Linked DNA regions of Macaca fascicularis. The protein of the gene in region 2 purifies or fractionates together with the protein of the main gene of each other region. This does not show direct contact. Links are inferred from orthologs where the notes say so. Each region holds a gene or a part of one and is shown on either strand. Other genes may lie near its edges.

Region 1 (4,256 bases), on a different chromosome or scaffold from region 2:
TAGTGATTCACAAGTCCAGACTGGCTACAGCTTCCCGGCTCCTGGAGTCCCAGCTGTATTACCTCAGACCAGTCAGTGCCCCTTCTCCAGGCTCAGTCTCCTCATCTGTAAAATGGGAACAGTTCCTACCGGCTGGGCAAGCTGGTCGCTCCACGGAAAACCCTGAGAACAGCGCCTGGCACTTGTGAAAACCATATTCTAAGGCGTATTTTCTGACAATTTGGGAGGAATTCAAGAACCAAATGGTGCTGGCATTCCTGCGCTGCGCCTAGATTACGGGATTCGTGTCACCTAGGGTTGGGCTAAAGGCACAGGCAAGGAACCGAAGTCACTGACTCACTAATTTTACCATTTTTAACTATTTCAGATTAGGGAGGAGCCTTTGGCCAAGAGCTGAACTGCTCAGCAGCTTCAGTGGCTCCGAAGCGAGAGTGGGTTTGTGCCTATAAATAGACTCGTGAAGTTTTGTGGCGATACACAGGTATCCATTCTAATTCACCTCTCCTCAGCCACCAACTCCCCCGGCTGCCGGGCAGGTCATCCCTCCACCCCGAGCCGCCGGGGACACTCGCGCTCCCCGCCCAACATCGGAGACCAGTGAGTGCCCCTCGCTCAGGCGCGGACCCCCAGGGCCGCCGAGGCAGCGGCTCCCGACCTTCCCCGGCGCCCGGCCCGGCCCCGCCGTCCTCGCCCAGCCGGCCCCATTTTCTTAACCCGTGCATTGTCCTTGCGAAGCACCCCGGCGGTTCCCACACTGGTGGGGACCGAGAGGAGGGACGAGGGAGGAGCTGGGGGAAGAAGATGAGGAGGAAGAGGAGGAGGAAGACAACCTCCACCCCTTCGCTCGGGCGGCCAGTGAAGGTCTGGCGCTGTCTACGGCCCCCCAGGCCCCGGCTCCCGGGAGGCCGCGGCCCCCGCTCCCACCCTCCGCAACTTTCCCTCCGCTCGCGCCCGCCGCTCCTTTGGGACCGGGCCTGAGGCTCCCTCCCCCGGCGGCCGGCCCAGGGCCCGCGGCGCCTCCTCCTAAAATGGCAGGTCCCTCCCTCCGCCCGGCCGGCCTCGGCTCGGGCCCGGCTGCGGGCCGCCGGGGTAGCCGAGCGCCGAGCCGGGCGGGGCCGCGGCCGGGCCGGACACTCACCGGGACGATGGCGGGGCGCTCGCGCCGCTTCCTCCGGTGAGTCTCAGCCTCGGGCTCCCGCGCCGCGCTCCCGCTCCCGCCGCGGCCTCCGCAGCCAGCGCCGCCCCGGCCGCCTCTCTCCGCCCCCGGCGCTCCGGCTCCTGGCCGCGCCGCAGCCTGCTCAGTCTCTCCTCGGCTCGCGGTTCCAGCGGCGCCCGGGGCCGGGGAGGCGACAGCCCCCTCCCCGGCAAATACCGCAGTCCCCGGGCCCCGATTCCCGGCGGCGGGGCCGCGCGGCCCGGCCCGGCACAGAGGGCGGCGGCGGCGAGGCCGGGCGCCGAGCGGCGGCTGCTGCCGGCGGCTTCTTCCCGAGGAGGATTTTGTAAATCTCACAAAATGGCGCGCGCTCCGAACCTGCGCAGCGAGAAGCGCCGGGGCCCGGGCGGCGGCGGCGGCTCCTCCGCCAGGAGAGCCCGAACCGCCCGCCCCCGAGTCCCCGCACAGACAGACAGACACTCGCACACACCCGCACACTCGCGCGCACACTCGCCCTCGCACACGCTCCCTCGCACACACTCGCACTCACACCGGTCCCGCCCGCTCGCCGGCGGCGGCAGCGGCACCAACAGCAGCAGCAGGAACAGCAGCAGCAGAAGCGGCGGCGGCGGCGCCCGCACCCCCCGCTCGGGGTGTCCGCTCTCTGAGCCCGACCTGGGCCGCGATCAGCAGCAGCGACGGCAGCAGTCTCCCCGGATACCCCCGCCGCGGTTGCCGCCGCCACCCCCGCCTCACTCCAATGGGGCTTTTTATTATTATTCGGGCGGGAAGCGAAAGGGTTTAAAAAAAAACCAACCAACAAAATGGCGACGGACCGACCCGGTCGCTATAGCAACTGTCAATCAAAACGCAAAACCCCGGCTGACGTGCTGACGTCCTCCTCCCGCCCCCCGGCCCCGATCCGGCGGGCGGGGCCTGTTGCTCAGGTAACGGCAGATTCCGTTCCCTCCTTTCCGTCTCCCCCTCCGTCCCCAGCCAACCACCCAACCCCCTCAGGTCACGTGAAGGATAAATTCGGAGCTCGGGCCCGCTACGAGTGTCAGAGGAGGGCGCGTGATTCGCCCGGGGGAGGGGAGAGGAGGGGGACGGCTAGGCCGAGAGAGGGTAGGGACTGGGGAAGGGGGGGCGAGGCGGCGGCCAGGCCTGTGCGCGAGCGCCCGCCGCCTCCCGGCCGCCTCGCCCCGCCCCGCGCCCGCGCCGACTGCGGCCCGGGGAGCGCGCGCGGCCTCCCGCGCCGCCGCCCCCGCAGCCCTAGCGCCCCGCGCTTCCGCGTTGGCGCCCGCAGCCCCGCCCGCGCCGGGGGGAGGGGAGGGCTGCCCCGGGCGGGGGCGGGGGAGGGGGAGGGTCGGGGCGCCGCGGCCTTCGGGCAGGGACCCGGGAAGCCCACCCCGCACGCCCGGGCCTGGAGGGCTCTCACCGCGGTCCGGACGCCGCGCTCGCCTTTCTCCCCGGGAAGCGCGCCGGCCGCGGCCGGCCGCGCGTGGAGCCGGTTCTTCGAAGGGCTCGCGGGCCTCCTCGCCGGAAAATGCCGGCGGAGGCCGCGGTGGGGGCGGGGAGGAGCCGCCGCCGGGCCCCAGACATCGCAGGAATTCCGGACGCTGCGCCGGGCCCCGGCGGCCCTGAGGCTGGCACCCGGCTCCGGTCGGGCCGCTCGGGTTTTGTGGCGCCCGAGACCAGCGTTGGGAAATTAGGCTGGAGCCATCATGAAAACTTTTTCAGGCTGTGCACGCTCGCCCGTCCCTGCCCATCTGCTTCCAACCCCTCCCCACCTTTCTGGGCGCAGCCTGCCTGCTCCATCGGAATGCCCCTTAGATAAATCCCCTTGTGCTGTTACTGTGTCCTTGTCGTCCAGCTCCCTGGTTTTCTTTTCTGTGCAGCTCCTCGGTTTCCAGCGTCTTAATTTGCCTACTTGTCCTTAACCATCAAAACTCTTTATTAATATCCTGGCTTTCGCTGATTTTTATTCTGTCTACCCCTTCTGCCTGCCTATGTATTGCTGGGTGAGCTCCTGAGGCTTGAAAACCCAAGTATGCCATGCTGGCTGCGTTGTAACCGGCATAGAGCCACCAGCTAAAAATTGTATTTTGTACCAGCTCTAATGGCATTTAATAAATGTATAGCTTAAAAAAGTGTGTGTGTGTACTATTTTACAGCAGAGTCACTAATTGATTTCTAAGCTTGATTTTGCCTCCTTGTGATAGTGTTCATAACCAATTTTTTTCATAAACCTCACAAATATAGTAGCAACAGATAAAATTTTATAAACGATATTAGGTGTAAAAAACTAGCAGTAAATACCGCTGTGTATGCTACATGACTCAAAGACACCTGCTTTAAATGATTTCCAGCAAAAATGTCCTTGCTACAGTTACTAGGACATTGATGTACTAAGGTAACCATTCAGATTAGCACAGACTGAAAGAAATCCGACTAAACCGAAAATAAACTGGTCAAAAAGTAATTACTAAGGTAGCCATTCAGATTAGCACAGACTTGGAAAGAAACCTGACTAAACCGAAAATAAATTGGTCAAAAAGTAATCGGGCAAATAGCTTGCTTTCAGACTGATCTCCATAATATAAAAAAAAAGTTGCCGTAACGGGCAAAAGTTCTTTCGGATTATTGTTTCAAAATTGCCCTGCTAATGTGATTAAAGTCCACGGTCAACTTAATTGTTTTGAAGAAAGAGGAAGTGGCCCAGAGCGCCCCTTATTCAGAGGAGAGGTCGCTACCTGGTTCCTCCCAAGCTCAAACTTCCACCTATACAACCAACTCCTTCCTCTCTGCTCCCGGGTCTCTCTTTCCTGCCCCCACCCCATCCCACCCCGTTAACCAAGCTTTCGCTTCTATCAGAGCACGTCAGCATTTGCAACCTTTAGTACTAAATTAAATTTGACTCAAAGTTTTATTCCTGGTAATGGAAGAAACTTGCGTAGTTAATCTTCTTAGGTAACCGGAACAGAATATGACAGTGTCTCAAGATATGTGTCCTTGTCTTCAGTTCAAATCAACCCAGAAGATCATCGGAGTAGGGCAGAATCTTGAGATTAGAAACGTGTGGGAATAGAAGGCATCGCTGGTC
Region 2 (4,376 bases):
TTTCATTTGATGATTGTAAGAAAAAATGAGAATATATATCAAAGTATGTAGTCCAAGTGTGGTGGTTCACACCTGGAATCCCAGCACTTTGTTTTTTGTTTGTTTGTTTTTGAGATAGAGTCTCATTCTGTTGCCCAGGCTGGGGTGTAGTGGCACAATCTCGGCTCACTGCAATCTCTGCCTCCCTGGTTCAAGTGATTCTCCTGCCTCAGCCTCCTGAGTAGCTGGGATTACAGGTGGGCGCCACAATGCCCAGCTAATTTTTGTATTTTTTAGTAGAGATGGGGTTTCACCATGTTGGCCAGGCTGGTCTCGAACACCTGACCTCAGGTGATCCGCCTGCCTCAGCCTCCCAAAGTGCTAGGATTACAGGTGTGAGACACCATGCCAATCCCAGCACTTTGTGAGGCCAAGGTGGGAAGACTGAGGCCAGGCGTTTGAGACTACCCTGGGCAACATAGCAAGACGCCTCTCTCTACAAAAATAGAAATAAATATGCTGGACACGGTGGCACACTCCTGTAGTTCTAGCTACTCAGGAGACTGAGATGGGAAGGATTGCTTGAGCCCAGAAGTTCAAGGCTGCAGTGAGCTATGATCGCTCACTGCACTCCAGCCTGAGCAACAGCAAAACCCCTGAGCAACAGCAAAACCCCGTTTCTAAAAAAAAAAAAAAAAAAAAAGCATGGTGTCTGGCACATAAGAGCAATTCTTGGAAACCATGTGTCCCATACTTCATGGCCCCTGACTCTGCTCCTTTTGCCAAGGGGAAATAGGCAGTGCAAGGTAAATCTCTCCACCCCTCTTTTCTCAGTTAGTACTGTACCTCACTTTTCTTTTTCAGTTTGCAGACTTGGTGACTCCTGCCTCCTCCCCTCCCTGGCTTAGTGAGGAAGATCCCTGCCACTGGCTCTACTTTCCAGCTGATCACAGCTATTTACCTGTCCCAGTCTTGAGTAAGGCACAAAATATTTACAGAAAACAGACGTCTTTCAGAGGACTTGCTAAGTGTAATAGTGAAGATTACTTGCATACTGCTACTTTCCAATCAATTAAAAAAAAGAAATAGAAAACTTTGTATTACAAAGAAATCACAACACGAACGCAGTTTAAAGCCTCTCCTTTATCCACTTTTTTGCTTGACTCCCTAAACCATCTGTGATGTTAGCTGAGACTCGAATTTACATAAGAGCCAGAAACCATCAACCCAACCTCTTCACACACTAACGTCTACATTCGTGTCTTTAAAAAAGACTTAAACTTTGGCTCATGTGGGAGGTGGTGGTAGTGGTGGAGACTTAATAAAAGGTGGTTTCGTCTTCCTGAAGTGGAAATATAGCACCGTCAACATCTTTTCCCCATCTGGCTGTTTCCTCCTTCCCTTTCTGTTTAAGGAAAGTGTAACCACCGTACTTCTCCCCACCTCGCCGCACCTCCCCCAACAAACGCAAGCAACTGAACCGCCTATGATGTCATAATCACAATCCCATTACCTCATCCTGCTGAGGGGGGGCGGAGAGAGAGGAGAGGGAGTGAACAGCCCTGGGCTATCCTGAGCTTTACAAAGTGTTCTGGGTGAGTGCAAATTACAGAACCAAGTGGAAACGTCCCCGCAACCATTGTAAGTTCTGGGTTTTTAAGGTTCAGGCCGATCCGGCAGCTGCAAGAGCGGCTCCTGGGACTCCGAGCAGGCCCTAATCGGCGCTTGGACCACACTTCCCAGCAGCCTTCACGCCGCGGACGGGTCCTTTGCTGGGGGAAGGGGGCTTCCTTCGCAGAGGTGGTCGTGGAGGGCGGGGCAGCCGAGCAGGTGAGGGGCACTGTGGCTAATGGCATGACGCGGGCCGAACCGAGTGGGAGGCTGCAGTTGGGCCGATGGAGGGAGGGAGGGCAGGGGCGATGCCTTTGTTTACCTTCTCCCGACATGGCCTCCCCCGCGGGTTTCAAGATGTACCTCCAACTGGGACCGTCCACTTTCTGCGATATTTTGGAGGGGGTGACTCGTTAGTGAGGAAACCACCCCCATCCCTAAATCAAAGCGCCAGGCTCGTTCCCGACAGCGCTGTCCGAGAGAGACTTTGAGAGAGACACGACACGAAGCTGCCCTCTCCGTGGGTGGCTCGGGGGGATTCTGCGAGCCGGAGCTGTCCCACTACTCTCCTCAGGGACTCGTTGGTTCGCGCCAGCGCCTTTTAAGGACACCGTGGGGCGAACGGAGCGCTCAGAGCTGCTCCGGCCGCGGCCCTGGGAGCTGGAGGAGCTGCGGTAGGTGGCGGAGGGCAGGTGGCGCTGGGGCCTCGGGGCGGGCACCTCAACTGTCCCTCCCTCCTTTCCTCTTTCCCCTCCCCCAGCCCGACCGCCCGCGCGGCCGGGCCTCGCAGGCCGCCTCCGCGGGGAGAGCACGGGACCCGGTGGGGGAGGGGGTGGCGAAGTGCTAAGTCCCAGACCCTCCCCATCCCTTGCGTCCTGAGTTCGCTTCCCGCGGCCAGATGATGGAACCTAGTGGGAAGAGGCGAACGACAGCCCCCCCTGAGCGAGCCCTGGCGCCCCCCCGCTCCGGGGACCAGCGGACGCCCCATGCCCCACCCCGCGGGGACAGGCAGGGCAACAGAGGGAGAGGTTGAAGATTGGAGGGGCCTAGCCTTTTGCTTCTTCATGGGGGTGGGGGGAGGGGTGTTCCCCACTTGTCACCCCTTTCCCCAGCAGAACCATATGGAGGAAGAGCAGGCAGGTCTCCACCTACCTGTTCATGCACCTCCCTGCCTTCCTCATGTTTTCCTTCAGTCTCCCCAAGAGGTGTGGGGCCGTGACCTGGGGGGAAGGTCCCCAAGGGATTTGTGACTCTCCTCCCTGTTGGCCTGACCTGATCCTACCTTGTCTAGGTTCAGCACAACCTCAGCATCCCTGAAACAGGAGTGTCAGGGGTTACTGCCATCCAATAGGAGATGGGGTGGGGGTCTGATCTTTATTTTTGGGGGCTGCTGGTGGAGGGAAAGCCTGAACTGAGAGTTAGGCCTGGTGGGGTTGCTGAGAGGGCCTAGCGGCCTGCTGCTCTCTGAAGGGCTGAGCCCCGTGCCAGTTGTTAAACTGAGAAGTTTTAACTTGTTTAGTGACTGTTCAGGGCTGTCTCTACCCTTCAGATACACAAAATGGAAGGGGAAGGAAGGCGGCAAGAGAGGGCTTCTTACACTTTTTTCAATGCCTGCTTGAGAAAGAGGAGGCCCCTCGCGGAGCTGGTTTGCCTTCTTTTGTGTCCTGGTTTGATTCCTTATGGCTTCCGTTCTGTTCCCCCTCTCAGCCTGGCCTGTTTTAGGAAACTCAGGCTGAGAGTATCAGTTGCGTGGTGGTAGTTGCATTGTTCCAATTACCGCTGTGTGTGGCCACATCCCAACAATTAAAATGCAGAAAAACACAAATTCACTCTCTTGACTTGATCCTAGAGATGGCTGGGAGTTTGCTGTTTGTCCAAATGCCTCATGAAAAGCTAGAGAGTTTGCTTCACTCCCTGCTCCTCATAGCTGGTTAGCCTGAGGCCTGGGGTCTGGGGGGTAAAATCCTGCACTTAGGTTCCCTCTCTGGTTGATCTTTGAGGGCAGCAGAGTTAAGAAACCAGGAGCAGAAGTAATATAAGCTTTAGCTTCTCCCGTAAGCATATAGGGGAAGCAGCTGAAGAGAGCTCCCCGGAAGCTAGAATTTTGTTCAGGGTGGTAATAATTATGCATGAAAATGATAGTTAACTATAACGATGATTGACTTCTCTTGCACCTTTCTTCCAAAGAACTCCAAATACATACAGGTTTATCTCTTTGCTCTTCCTTATGGCCTCCTCCTGAGGTGTGAGTGGGGTAGAGATAATTTCCTCTTCTTTGTAGAGTGATCTGTCCCCAAGGTCACAGAAGGAACAGCCCTCTTGGGCTTTTCTTAGTGTACAGGTGAGGGAGGATGGTATTCAGCCAGAGAGATAGACCCTATTGCCTTCTTCATCTTATTGATTTCATTACTTCTGACATTCTGAGGCCTTGAAGATTCACAAACGGGAACAAGAAATGGTAGTCTATGTGGACTCCTGATTTTTATAGGCCAGATGGTACATTTTGTACATTTTAATATGTTATATTGTTCCTGTGACAGGTTAAGATTATTCTGCCCACTTTACATATGGGTAAACTGAGGCCAGCGAGTATTAAATGATTTGTCAAAACTCTTAGCAAATTGGACTAATAATTAGATTTCTTGATGATTTGTTCTATTGACTAGCTAATGCTACACACATTCTCTGGTAAGCTGTCAGCTTGCTGGTCATTTCCGGGAATAGACAGAATAAAATCAAGACACTGGCTTAACCTCCCCTTTTCCCTTGAGCAAGGCCCCTCAGGT

The links.
Region 1: the proteins of FAM53C (region 2) and DYRK1A purify together in Homo sapiens (affinity purification with mass spectrometry; 8 studies listed by BioGRID and IntAct, counting the BioPlex papers as one, with this or other methods). This does not show direct contact. The link is inferred for Macaca fascicularis from reciprocal best matches to the Homo sapiens genes FAM53C and DYRK1A.

Annotation. Positions count from the first base shown.
Region 1 is NC_088377.1:9,632,315-9,636,570, forward strand, and holds the start of DYRK1A (dual specificity tyrosine-phosphorylation-regulated kinase 1A), read right to left. Parts: upstream 2,925-4,256; 5' UTR 2,592-2,924; intron 2,000-2,591; exon of another isoform or gene 1,971-1,999; intron 1,745-1,970; exon of another isoform or gene 1,139-1,744; intron 1-1,138. UniProt on the Homo sapiens protein: Dual-specificity kinase which possesses both serine/threonine and tyrosine kinase activities. Exhibits a substrate preference for proline at position P+1 and arginine at position P-3.
Region 2 is NC_088380.1:144,835,439-144,839,814, forward strand, and holds the start of FAM53C (protein FAM53C), read left to right. Parts: upstream 1-1,495; 5' UTR 1,496-1,620; exon of another isoform or gene 1,621-1,809; intron 1,810-2,222; exon of another isoform or gene 2,223-2,264; intron 2,265-4,376.